Linked DNA regions of Arabidopsis thaliana. The protein of the gene in region 1 interacts with the protein of each later gene in a pairwise test. Each region holds a gene or a part of one and is shown on either strand. Other genes may lie near its edges.

The links.
Region 2: the proteins of AT1G01910 (region 1) and AT5G05670 interact in a two-hybrid assay, tested with the Arabidopsis thaliana proteins (one large-scale study listed by BioGRID).
Region 3: the proteins of AT1G01910 (region 1) and TI1 interact in a two-hybrid assay, tested with the Arabidopsis thaliana proteins (one large-scale study listed by BioGRID).

The regions. Positions count from the first base shown.
Region 1 is NC_003070.9:312,605-318,090, reverse strand, and holds AT1G01910 (P-loop containing nucleoside triphosphate hydrolases superfamily protein), read left to right. Parts: upstream 1-2,000; 5' UTR 2,001-2,259; coding exon 2,260-2,514; intron 2,515-3,075; coding exon 3,076-3,200; intron 3,201-3,288; coding exon 3,289-3,439; intron 3,440-3,539; coding exon 3,540-3,650; exon of another isoform or gene 3,651-3,865; coding exon 3,866-4,004; intron 4,005-4,095; coding exon 4,096-4,211; coding exon of another isoform or gene 4,212-4,219; intron 4,220-4,331; coding exon 4,332-4,496; 3' UTR 4,497-4,937; downstream 4,938-5,486. Other genes in the region: AT1G01920 (SET domain-containing protein), read right to left, coding at 51-112, 246-326, 449-530, 635-797, 898-924, 1,001-1,083, 1,194-1,299, 1,378-1,552 and 2 more; SBTI1.1 (subtilase family protein), read right to left, coding at 5,080-5,486. UniProt on the Arabidopsis thaliana protein: ATPase required for the post-translational delivery of tail-anchored (TA) proteins to the endoplasmic reticulum. Recognizes and selectively binds the transmembrane domain of TA proteins in the cytosol.
Region 2 is NC_003076.8:1,695,211-1,699,779, reverse strand, and holds AT5G05670 (signal recognition particle binding protein), read left to right. Parts: upstream 1-1,588; 5' UTR 1,589-1,757; intron 1,758-2,203; 5' UTR 2,204-2,245; coding exon 2,246-2,387; intron 2,388-2,740; coding exon 2,741-2,823; intron 2,824-2,981; coding exon 2,982-3,068; intron 3,069-3,173; coding exon 3,174-3,322; intron 3,323-3,447; coding exon 3,448-3,579; intron 3,580-3,650; coding exon of another isoform or gene 3,651-3,674; coding exon 3,675-3,864; coding exon of another isoform or gene 3,865-3,882; 3' UTR 3,883-4,063; downstream 4,064-4,569. Other genes in the region: MOS7 (nuclear pore complex protein-like protein), read right to left, coding at 9-153, 402-524, 650-801, 1,128-1,415; AT5G05675 (uncharacterized protein), read right to left, coding at 3,651-3,802, 3,813-3,882; NF-X1-type zinc finger protein NFXL2, read left to right, coding at 4,307-4,569.
Region 3 is NC_003071.7:18,065,146-18,068,366, reverse strand, and holds TI1 (trypsin inhibitor protein 1), read right to left. Parts: upstream 1,408-3,221; 5' UTR 1,157-1,407; coding exon 1,096-1,156; intron 956-1,095; coding exon 747-955; 3' UTR 507-746; downstream 1-506. Other genes in the region: AT2G43500 (Plant regulator RWP-RK family protein), read right to left, coding at 1,917-2,527, 2,598-2,954, 3,002-3,161.

The DNA.
Region 1 (5,486 bases):
ACCAAGAGACAAGTTATATAGTTGTACAAGATAGCTGCAAAACATCTTACCTCATTTCCTTTGTTACCATAACTGATCGAGATCTCCTTCTTTGGGATAGGACGTTGAGCAACTGCTTTACAGAATTGTAGCACTTAGTTTTCCGCATACAGATCAAAAAGAAGAGAGGAAAAAGAATGTTCTGTATTGTTTGATTGAAAAATTGTAGAAAGCTGAGAGGTAACACAAACAAATATTTGGCCAACCAGAGAGAAGGTACATGGAGAAAGGAACCCTAGATACTGATCCGATCCCATCAACTTCCCAAGTCGCCACAGGCTTCAAATCTATACTGCCATAACCATAGGTCATTATATCACATCACACTGGGATATACTCATTAACCATATCAACATTATGGAACGGAGAAACTGATAATAGAGTCTTTTTGAAACAAAGATTGGCATACCATGGTTGCAAAAGTCAATGCCAGGAACAAGCCCCTCAACCCATATTGTATCTCCGGATCCTACAGATGGCGCAGGTTGAGCCTGAATTTCTACCCATCAGAAAATGAAGAAACCCATGAAATTGTCGTTACATGATAGAATAATAATAATTAAAAAAGAGGCATTTCACACAGAATTCAGCAGACCGACGTTAATGACTTGCCTTTTTCCTCATTAGAATTAACTGGAGCCGTTTCAGGGGACTCACTTGTTGATGTGCATTCCCCGGTATCATCTTGGCTTTGTGGAAACACGAAAGAATGTGGAAGAGGAATATTCAAGGCGCGACTCCAGAATACAGAGTTTGCCCTGGCATAATTGAAAAAAGTCGCAAGATCACTAAGCAGCCCTTTACAAGACACAAAAGTCTGGTTCTACTAACAAGGAATAACACCAGTACCAAACATACCAGAGGAAGTGTTCAAAGGAGACCTTGCTGCACGAAGAGAGAAAACAAAATATGATTATCAATGAACAATAATTTGGTCTAAAAGTAGTGTAAATATGTCAACCTTTCGGAATCGCCATCCAAAATAAGAAGCTTTGTCACCAGGACCTCCACCTTGTCATGGTAAAGCGAGAGCAACTTCTTCTTCTGAGAATGAATACACGATGGTTATTGGGTTTAATAAATGAAAAGAGAAAATGTGGTTGCTATTTTAAGGACGATATGATAAGACAGGAATAAATGATCAAGATTGAGACCTGTAACTCGGTTGCGTGATACAAGTTAGTCCCTTTTAGCTCAAGGATGTCATCATCAGAAAACCAAAGAGGATTGCCAAATCGAGTAGGAAGCATATCAAGATACCTATCATATCATTTCTAGACAGATGAATACCCTTAAGCTTACGTAAATGTGTGCTAAGAGATTAAAAAAAAAACTTACGGCTTCCAAGAAGAATTGATACGAAGACGCTCCAAAGTGAGGAACAGAATCATGAGAAAGCGGTCATCAACTTGTCCTTGTTCGAACATTTTCTGACACTCAGGGCCCAGGAGAGGGTCCTGAAGAACTCTCATAGGGGTAATGGCCAGATCAAGCGGAACAACAAGCAAAACTTCTGAAAATTTCCAGAGCTGAATCAGAATTCAATATCAACTTTCCATACATATTCCCCGGAAAAAAACCCAGCAAGAAATGGTAAGAACAATACTATACCATCGGAAGCTTGAGTGGAGGTGGAAGCGAATATGCCAAATCCTTTTAGGGAGTCAGAATATTTGATGTTGCAGCCTCTTAATTCACCTCCATTCACCTGAATGAAATTAGATCGAAACACAAAATGCCATGATATAGAGCAGCAGATCAGGACTGAAAAACAACACTTAATCCGGATCTAACCTGAAGCCAATCTAGGAACCTTTCGAGTTTGGCTTCTTCTTCTGAAATCGCCATATCCTCCGGCGAAGATCAATATGCCGGCGACGGGTTTAACCGAGTAGAGAGGGGTTTTCAATCGTAACTCACAATACGCTGTCGTAATGGCTTCATCTATGTGGGCTTTTGTATGGGCTTATTTAGCGTTTATGAACTTAAACACACCAAATTTAAATTTTTAACAAAAAAAGAAAAATTGAACAAGTGAAAAACGATAACCAAAAAAATCAAACCAAGACTGCTGTGATATCCCAAAACCGAGAACCAAAATATTGAACCGGGCGGCGTTAAAAGTCTCTCGCCGCAGTTAAACTCTTCCGTACGCCAAATATCTAACAAGGAGCTCTTTAGATTGAGACTAGTGGAAGAGAGACGAGCAAGGAATTAGCAATGGCGGCGGATTTGCCGGAGGCGACAGTACAGAACATTCTGGACCAAGAGTCTCTTAAATGGGTTTTCGTCGGAGGTAAAGGAGGTGTTGGGAAGACGACATGCAGTTCAATTCTCGCAATTTGTCTCGCCAGTGTTCGATCCTCCGTTCTCATCATCTCCACCGATCCTGCTCACAATCTTAGTGATGCCTTTCAGCAACGCTTCACTAAATCTCCCACTTTGGTTCAAGGTTTCTCTAATCTCTTTGCCATGGTAAGCTTTCTCCGATTTTGTTCTAGATCGTGCTAGATTTTAGAGGGAATTTGGTAGTTTCGCTCCTGGATTTTAATCTCATTGGGAATTAGGGTTCTCTGATTCACGAATTTCAAACCGCAGATTGATGGATCAATTTTGATTTTGAAGTCAGATTTAGTACTTGCATAAATACGGTTGATTTGTGCCTTTCTTATCATATGCCCACTCTGATTTTGGGGATTAGGTTTGGAATTTGGACGCCAATTTGTATTCTTGATACGGAAGGGGATTGTGAAGAAGATTTGATGTCCCCAAATCAAATCGAATTTTTGTCTATTGTAGTTAAAATTCATGGCTAGTTATGCCAAATTCAAAAAAAAAAAAAAAAGTTGTTTTTTGTGGTTCTGGGTCGCCTCTAATAGACAGGCTTGATGATGACTTTATGGCTACTCTTCTAAGCTTGAAGCTCTTAGTTGTGTCTGTGTGTATATGTATATATATACACATACTATAAGCAAATGGTTACGATTCACACTCCTTCCCTCTTGATAGTGAGTGAATCTTGTTTGCTTTTCTCAGGAGGTAGATCCTACCGTTGAAACTGATGACATGGCTGGTACAGACGGGATGGATGGTTTATTCTCTGATTTGGCAAATGCGATTCCTGGAATCGATGAGGCTATGAGTTTTGCTGAGATGTTGAAGTAAATAGCCATTTAGTTCTTCTAGTAATCATCTGCCTTTATCCATGTATTATCACAGTCAAATTTTGATATGTTTATGTTTCCTTAGGTTGGTGCAAACAATGGATTATGCTACTATTGTGTTTGACACTGCTCCTACTGGACATACTCTCCGCCTGTTACAGTTTCCGGCCACACTAGAAAAGGGACTTTCGAAGTTGATGTCATTGAAGAGTAGATTTGGTGGCTTGATGACTCAGGCATGTCTTTAAGCTTGTCAAATTCAGTTTGCTTGGCAACAGATATTGCTCTTTGGTTTCTTCTTTGGCTGATTTTTCATGGAACTGATTGGTAATGCAGATGAGCCGTATGTTTGGCATGGAGGATGAGTTCGGAGAGGATGCTTTGCTGGGAAGACTTGAGGGCTTGAAAGATGTGATTGAGCAAGTAAATCGGCAATTCAAAGACCCGGTAACATTTTTTCAATTGTTTAAGTTCTTTGCTATTTTCAGTACTCATTGACTGTTTTCTTAACTCTGTTCGTGAAGTTTAGTTTTAGATTCTTCACATTGTTCTGTAGCATACGGTTTGACAGCATTCATTTGCATTAGTGAAAATTCTGATACATATCTAACAAACTCTGCATTTTAAGATAAGAAATTGACACATTTGGCTCCATTACGTAGGATATGACTACGTTCGTTTGTGTCTGCATCCCCGAGTTCTTGTCTCTCTATGAAACAGAGAGACTTGTTCAGGAACTCGCCAAGTTTGAGATTGACACGCATAACATTATCATCAACCAAGTACTATACGACGACGAAGGTGCCTATTTATTTGCTGTCGTGTCTATCTTCTCGTTTTGAACTTGTTTTACATACAAATTTGACGAATTATCTACACTTGTCTTCTGTAGATGTGGAGTCCAAGTTGCTCAGAGCAAGGATGCGGATGCAACAGAAGTATCTTGATCAGTTTTATATGCTATACGATGACTTTAATATCACAAAGCTTCCTCTGCTTCCGGAAGAGGTAAGAACGCATGACATTCAATATAGATGAGAAGGAACATGATCAAGACGAAAATGAAACTAAAGCCTTATATAATATACATCCTGAGATTTACACTTGTTGTGGATGTTTGGATCACAGGTGACAGGGGTTGAAGCCTTAAAGGCGTTTTCACATAAGTTCTTGACGCCGTACCATCCTACCACTAGCAGGAGCAATGTAGAGGAGCTGGAGAGGAAAGTACACACATTGCGTTTGCAGTTAAAAACAGCTGAAGAAGAACTCGAACGGGTCAAGAGTGGCTAAAGATAAGGCTCTGTTCTTCCCTTTAATTGTAAGTTTCTTTCCTCGCCATATTCTTGGAACTCACTTGCTTTCTACATGGGGGTCTTCTGGATCTGCGTTGTCATTTGGGTTTATTGTTGTTTATGTTTTGAACAATTTATAGGTGGAAAATTAAAACTGAATCTTTTTCTCTCTAGTTCTTCATCTAGCAACAACTCTTTATAGGACAGGAAAGAAGATCAAGCAGAATCTTCTTTTGCGTTGTTTTATTGTTATGCATTGGATTTGTTTTTATATTTGTAATAATCATGACTACATAGACTCATATCTACCAAGAAATCGTTGTTTTACGACTTAATCAGCTTTTTATATATTAAGTTGAAGGGTATCTGTGACAAGCGAATGCTATGATCTCTTGTAACAGCTTTTTATATACTGTAGACTGGTCTTGCAACAGAGAAGGAAAATTCATGTAAAAAAATTATAGTAAATAAGAGATGTTTTGATTTATTGACAAATTCTTACAAGTTTAGGGTAAGCTTTTGTTCAATAAGTTTCTTTGGTATATAATAAATATGAAAATGGCAATCAATAGATGCGAAATTTATTCCCACGTCACGGCGATTGGGCTTCTGACGTTGTATTTGTCACATATCCAAACCAAAACTCCAAAGGAAGACGAAGACGAATTTCTCGAAGCTTCTGCATCATACGTCACCGTATAACTCAACCTCTCTCTGGCCTTCTGGAACTTGAGCACCTTTGGTTCAACTCTCACCTTCACACCTTTTGGTTCCTCAACGTGCACCATATACTCACAAGTCGGTGACCCAACGTTAGTCACAGTCCTCTTATATCTCACCGTTTTCAAATTCGCGCCATTAACGAGGTTGACCGCGAACGAGGGATAGTTCAAATCACCGGGACTCAAAACGACGGCGTTACTAGCACACGTGTAGTTAGTGCCGGAGAACAAGAGTATTCTCTCACTCGTGTAGTTCAAGCTGCACA
Region 2 (4,569 bases), on another chromosome or scaffold:
GAACTTACAGTAAATCTATCCCACAGATGATCTCCTCCAAAACTGAAATCAGCAGGATAAATTGATGAAGCTGTTCTAGATCTTCCTGGCTCACCGGGCTGCAGATAATATTCTTGCTCTGGTAGCTCAGTATCTGAAGACAAATCGAAAAGCCTAGCATACAAATATCTTTTAGTAAGCTAAAAAGCTCTTAAATCAGGATTAAATAAAACGATTTGATTCTTTATAATGAGAGACTGGACCAGATGGTAACATAGTAAGTCATTGCATGGCAGAAACTAACAATCTACAACCTTAGGAACTGATTTTTTCTACAATTTCTCTAACATCTTTCCATAATGATATTGATCAATATATTGACATGTACATCCACCTTCACTATCAGCCGAAAAGATTGTTACCTGAAAACTGCATCCGAGGATAGAATTCCCAAATGGGTGTCACTATCAGGGTGCCACGATGCTTGTAGCAAGGTTATGGCACTGTCACTACTAGTATAGATTTCTGAACCAATAGAAACTACCCTGCAACACATAGATTATGAAGTGATAACGTATAAGCAGAAGGCCATTAATTTAAGCAAGATAACATCATAATCAAGATAACAATGAATATAAATGCATCTTATTAGGGTAACGTTAATCACTACCTGCAAATGACATTGTCTTCTATCACAGAAGCACGTCCAAATAGGTACATCACACATATCCCATCTGAGCCGGCAAGAAGTACAGCTGATCCAGACTTATTGATGGAGATTTTGCTAACAGAAAATGTCACCTGAAGGTCTGGTTGCATCACCTATAATATCATTTATTAGTAAAGCTTAGTCAATCACTACATGATGAATCAATCACCTATAATTTATCTTATGTAGCAAAGACAACAGAGGAAAACTAAAGGTTTTTGACAGTAGTACATAGCAAGTAGAAAAGATCTTCCTATTATCATCCATCAGTAAGAAATCTAATTTCTCAAACTCTTCCTAAACCTAATTTCTCAAAGTCAGTAAAATGTCAGCACTAAAAAAGAGCTTTCGATAAATCTTCTTTTCAATACTCATTTTGGCCGACTTAGCGGTGAAAACAGAAAGAGAGAGAGAGAGAGAGAGAGAGAGAGTAAATGACCTTGGACGGGACTGCGGCGAGGACGGAGGATGGTTCAGGTTCACCCAAGCGCAGAGATAATCGGTGAAGGAGATATCGTCTCGAATCCCAGTAGTATACGCGCGAGTCTCCGTCCCAAGCCATGAAATTTCTCGGAAACAGCTGCGACACGGCGGGTTCATCTTGGGAGGAAGGAAGAGAAGCGAAAACCGGGTGGCTCTGGAGAGGAACCCACCTAACCGGCTCTTTGGGCGTCGGAGATCGTCGTGAATCTGGTGCATCCTCTGTCTCGTTAAAGTTAAATTTCATACTTTCTTCACTCGAGTGTATCTGTTTTCGTCGGAAGGAGATGCAGACACAGACACCAGATTCACGGCGGGAAGAGAAGGGAGAAAAGAAGCGATGAAGCAGATACAGTTGAAACGACTTCGTATTGACGTTTAATGGGCTTTTATTCGGCCCATTAACTATCTTCGAAACAAATTGAAATGAAGAAGCACTAACTGGTTTTAATATATAAAATTAAATCTGAACCCTAAATCATCGTCGCCGTGTTCTTCTCCGCTTCCACCGTCGTTGTATTCGTCTTCCGCCTCCTCTCCCATCGGTGCGTTTCTATCTCTTCCACCAAATGGATTCATTTACTCTTGGGTAAATTTTAGCTCTTGTTTGTCTATATTCATTATCTGGAATTTTAGAGGAATCTGTTTGTATTTTTTTACATCTCGTTGAAACAGCGCATCAATGTAGGATTAGCATTTATCTTTTCATAACTTGGGATGATCGTGTATGGGTCTACGGGTTGTATTGATCTGGTAAAACTGGTTTTAAATTGGGATAAACAAATTGTGTTCCTTGTTCACAAGATGATTATTGTCACTGTACTGGGTTTATCACAAGGATGAACATGATAATGTGAGAACCAGTATTGATATAATGTTTGCAAATATTAGAGAGTTCCGATTTCAATTTTTGTTTTCAGGAAGCAGTTTTAAATTATTCCCATGCATGTTGTTTGTGTAGGAGAAGAGAGTTTTCTAGTTAACTCTAGGTTATTTTTATGTCTTAAGAGGAATGAATTACATCTCTGGATGCAGGTTTTGAACAGCTTGGCAGAAGAAGTGAAACTTGAGAGAGTAATGGAGAACTTGGAAGATCTGAAAATTCTGGCTGAGCAGTGGTCGCATCAAGGAATTGAATATCTTCAGAAGATACCACCGAATCAGCTGTATGCCGCCATTGGTGTTTTGTTGTTTACAACCATCTTGCTCTTCCTATCCAGTATGTATTAGACACCACTTTGTTGTTTCTTAATCCTTTCCTAGTAGAATTGCTTTATTTATGTAAGATCTCCCCCTGGTAGTATCTTGTTTGCCATTGATAAGGACATATAGCCTGTTCTTCTTCTAAATGTCTTCAATTACTTTTCTTCTGCCTGCTATTGTTTACAACTGCAGAGGTTATAGTTCTCATGGTACCATTTTAGACTTGTGATTAAGCCAGAGTATTTTGTGTATTGGAATTAGAACTATTATTGCAATTTCTGAGGTTTATTCATGATTTTTCTTTGATTATACATAAACAAACTTTTGATCTTTTGTTGCTAAACTTGTTGTTCTTGCTGGGGTATGCAGTTCGCCTGGTCAGACGTACCAAATCCAACACTGTACTCCTTTCTGGGCTGACCGGAAGTGGAAAGACTGTGCTCTTTTACCAAGTGAGTGTTTTGGCTTGACGTTACCTTTTTCATATGAATATTGTTTATGACTTTCCTTCAAATGTACTTTTTTTTTGTAATGTGTCACTATTGTGAGTCAGTGTGAGTGACTAGGTCATTGTTGGAGAGTTATAACACGATAATTGTTTGATTGGCAGCTCCGAGATGGATCGTCGCATCAGGGCACTGTAACATCAATGGAACCAAATGAAGGCACTTTTGTTCTTCACAGTGAAAATACTAAGGTAAAGAATCTTACTGTGTTCTGTTGTAAACAACACGTGCAGTTGATTGTGATGGATGGAATAACATATTACTAAACCATGTCCCGTGCTTGCTCTTTGTGACAGAAAGGAAAAATCAAGCCTGTTCATCTTGTTGATGTTCCTGGGCACTCTCGGCTTCGACCCAAGCTAGAAGAATTCTTGCCCCAAGCAGCTGCCATTGTGTTCGTAGTGGATGCCTTGGAGTTCCTCCCAAACTGTCGTGCAGCTTCAGAGTAATTTCAAACACCCTCTCTCTTCCACACACACGCATTGTAAGACACAGATAAGAGACATGTTTGCATATGTTTGCATCTCAATGTTGAAAATGAGGCATTGCCATGGTTTTTTATGGTGATAGGTACCTATACGAGATTCTGACCAATGCGAATGTTGTCAAGAAGAAGATTCCAGTCCTCCTTTGCTGTAACAAGACCGATAAACTCACTGCACACACCAAGGAGTTTATCCGGAAGCAAATGGAGAAAGAAATGTAAGAATTTCAGTTTTCTTGACAAAATTTTCTTATATATAAAGCCTATCTTCCTGCATAAAAGCTAATCATCATTGGTTGATGAGTTTTTGCAGTGAGAAACTGAGGGCTTCAAGGAGTGCAGTCTCTACTGCTGATATAGCGAATGACTTCACCATTGGAATTGAGGGAGAAGTGTTCTCCTTCACGCATTGCTCCAACAAAGTCACTGTCGCTGAGGCATCTGGACTTACCGGAGAAACCATCCAGATTGAAGACTTCATTCGAGAATACATCAAGCCATGAGCTCCAACATGCCTTCATAGATTGAATCTACCACAAGTTTCTTATGCTTTGGGCTGTGACTTTGATTTGAGTTTAGAGATCCTTTTGTATATGAGATCTTTGGATGATTTAGGGTGTTCAAAACTGAGTAGCTGTATTTTCGAGTTAGATAATCTGTTTTAAATCGGAATGATTTTAAGGAAATGTTAAATGACTTAATTCTCTTGCAAAAAAGGAAAAGAGGATAATCATAGATAAGTGATCGTGCTTATCAACTTCGAGAAGATAACGCGAGAAGTCCTTGGGGATAAGCTAGAAACTGTCTTAACTAAGCCGGTAAATCCAAATTAAACCGGTAATTTGGTCATTACAATGCTCACGAGAGCATCACGTGTCTTCTTCTTCTTCTTATTCCCCCCCAAATTTCTGGACTTTGTCCTTAAGAAGGAGATGAAGAAGAAGAATGACTAATATGGCCGGAACCGCCACCACCGAGTTCCGGTGGAAATCACCACCACAGCCTCCGTCACAAGAGCAACCCATTTCAGATTCAGATTCAGACTCCGGATCTGATTCAGAGAATCATCAGCACCGTCACAATGATCTATCAAACTCCATCTTCGAAGCTTACCTCGATTGCCACTCATCTTCGTCCCCTTCCTCAATCGATCTCGCTAAGATCCAATCTTTTCTCGCCTCGTCTTCTTCCGGTGCTGTCTCGTGCCT
Region 3 (3,221 bases), on another chromosome or scaffold:
ATAAATCATGATTCATGAAAAACCTGAAATAATTGTTTTTTTTTTAATATACATTTCTATATAATTGCATGAGAAAGTTTTTATACTAAATCCTACTTTCCAATGTATATGAGCAGTACCAAAAAACTTATGTGAGTCCTTACCAAAAAGGACTTATTAATTGTATATTTTTGTTAAAATCATATTGTAAAACTATTATTATTTTTTCATTTTAATATTATTTAAAATAAATTATATAATAAAGAAATAGAATAACAGATAATGATTTTCTTAAGCATCATAATTTTATGCTTCCAAATTTTAAAACTATCATAATTTACTCTAATAACCGTACATGTGAAAATATTAAACACGTCACATCCAGAGCTCATTTAAAATCTTATGTTGACATTTCATCACATTCAGACTTCGTCTTTGACCGGCTAGATTAGCCGCAAAACAGTCGGAACGCTCTCCACATAGTAAACAGATAAGAATATGTGGATACCAAATTCACAACAACAATGAGGCAACCAAACTCGCACGTTTCTTCTTTCTTAGTCAAATTGTATTACCAAAACATGATTGTAGTAGCAAAAGTCACACTTTCATTATTTCTGATTTCACATTACATCACTTGGATAGACCATTCACATTCATTTATTACACAAACCATGACTAAAACTTGTGAATGTACGTAAAGACAACGTGTATAATAATTGCGTCTATGGCAGCCTTAGTGCATTGATTAGCGATTGCTTTAGATTTTACTGTGGAGTATCGTCGCAGAAGTCGCATAAGCATTTGACGTTACTGCCCTGTCCCCAACGGCATCTTCCACCTTTAGCTCCCTTGTTCTCACGGCATCTTGTGTAACAAATCGTCGGAAATATCCGAGGCGCACAAAAGCCGAAACCAACATCACCTCCGTATTCTTTCAAGCACTCGTTACCTTGCGCTTCTATCTCCGGCACATCTGTTATAAACAAAATTAAGAAAAGATAGAATGATCATATCATGATTTTGCTATGGTCAAAGAGATTTGTAGCCAGAACATAAGGGTAAATTTTAAGTTATAAACAAATATGTCAAGAAACGGAGAGTAAGTTTGCTTACCGGAAATGACTAAGAAGAAGATGAAAAAGACAACGAAGATGGAAACGATAGCCTTTGCCATTTTCTCTTTGTTTATCTAACTTTAGGTTTGTTGATATGTGTTTAACACTGGTGTTGGTGAATATTTATAATTATCTTTAGGACCAAACCGATTGGTTTGATGATATAGAACCGAACCATAACAAAACGAAACCAATCGGATTGAATTAATAAAATTTTTAAATTTCAACTATTAGACTGAGTTTTTTGACCTTGATTCGTTTCCCAATATCGATATCGAACCCTTTCAAATATGAAAATTCTGTCTTCGCATCTTCTCCCTCTTTTAGGCACATCATAAGATATGGATATGAACTTTGCCGTTAAAAAAAGAAAAAGATATGGATATGGACGTTAAACTGATAAGGGGGAAAAAACCCAATGATGAACACAATTATAGGCCCAAGCCCAACTAAAATCAAGTCCTCGTTGACTTAAAAACCAACCAATTAAACCGAAATTTAGTTGACTTTGTTGGTTTCCACAGGAATGGAGAGATAACAAAGAATACGATTCTGCATCACAGGGATAACTAAAAGTGTTCTCTTTTCTTATATGAAAGATGGGTGAGCAGGTACAACATTAGCAACGTAGATATAACATCCAACTTTTATTCTCTGATTCATATAAAACGAAAAAACATATACATTTTCTGCTGAACTCCACTATACCAAAATTGTCTTTCTCCTTCATGCCTATTTATAAGCATACTAATATCTAGAGAAATAAACAACATTCTTTCACTGGGAATACATAACTGTGTGTGTCTATGTCTTACGACGTCATAAGCCTGTTCCAAGATAACCATTACTGCCACCAGAACTACCTAGAGGGGCAGACAAATCACGAACGAGAAACTTCACCGAGTGTTTTCCCATACCATGTAATATCTCCAAACATTCTTGGAGATCAGAATCTGTAACCAGCATCACCCATTCTTCTTCATCATCCAAGTACTTCAGCTGAAACGACCCGTCCTGCAGTTTAAAACGTTTTCCAACTTCTTTGTAGAGCTGAGGACACCCAACTGATGGCTCGAACTTGAAACGTACAGTGTCTTCTCTATAACTGGCCTTTACGATCAGCGTTGTTGATCCACTCTCGCTGCTATTACTGTTGTGGGTTCTCATTTGGTTCCAATCTTCCATGGAAGTAGATGAGCTTCCACGCAGAACTGCGCCTGAGCCATTTGATGAATCTGATATGCTGCATGACATGGATTGGTTAGGTTCAACAATACTGCCACTGCATCGGATTGTTGGATCCATTCCATCTGAAATTTCCACAGAGCTTAAGTTGCAAACGCTCTTTATTCCTTCACTGCCATTCAAGCCAGACTCTTTGGCCATCCAAGCCCATGGCTGACCACTAGCATTAACCTCCATGAATGATCCTGCAAAAACTGAAAATGGATTAAGATTCTAATCGCTCCATCTATGGTTTATGGATAGAGAAGTTCTTACCTGGTCTTGCTTGATTCATGGTTGTATCCTCCTCTAACTTAATGGCATTGTCGACAGATTTAGCTTCCTGGAGCTTGAATGAAGTATCGTCAGGCATATCCTCCTGACTTCTTCTTGCATGTGCATCATTATCAAGAGACGACAGACCCTTTTGGGTATCAATTTCTTGAATAAAAGGTCTAACTGCAATGAATTCGCCAGTTGCTGAGTCGAACTTTAGTCCTCCTTCTACACCTTGGACCGAGTCCAGTACCGTCTGTATTTTCCTTAGTGACCTGTTCACTTTGTTAATCTTACGAGATGGCCACCTCATGATCCCATGTTGCCTGCATATCCGTTTCAATGTAGTTGGACAAACTGCAGAAGAAAATCCAAGTCGAGGGTCAGATAGTTTGTGTGCTAACAAAAATAAACCCATGCTTGGAAATATGCGGAAGTCTCACCACCAAGGCTTTTTGCAGCATCCTTTAGACTCCCAGAGAAGTGTTGTTGGAGAGCGCTTAAGCTCACATTTTTCTCTGTAGTGCTTTTCTTCTTCTCTGGTGTTCTTGCTTTGCTCACATCCTATGAAAAGTTGTAAGGAAAAATATCAGTGTTCAGTTTAACGAACTGTTTCACAAAATT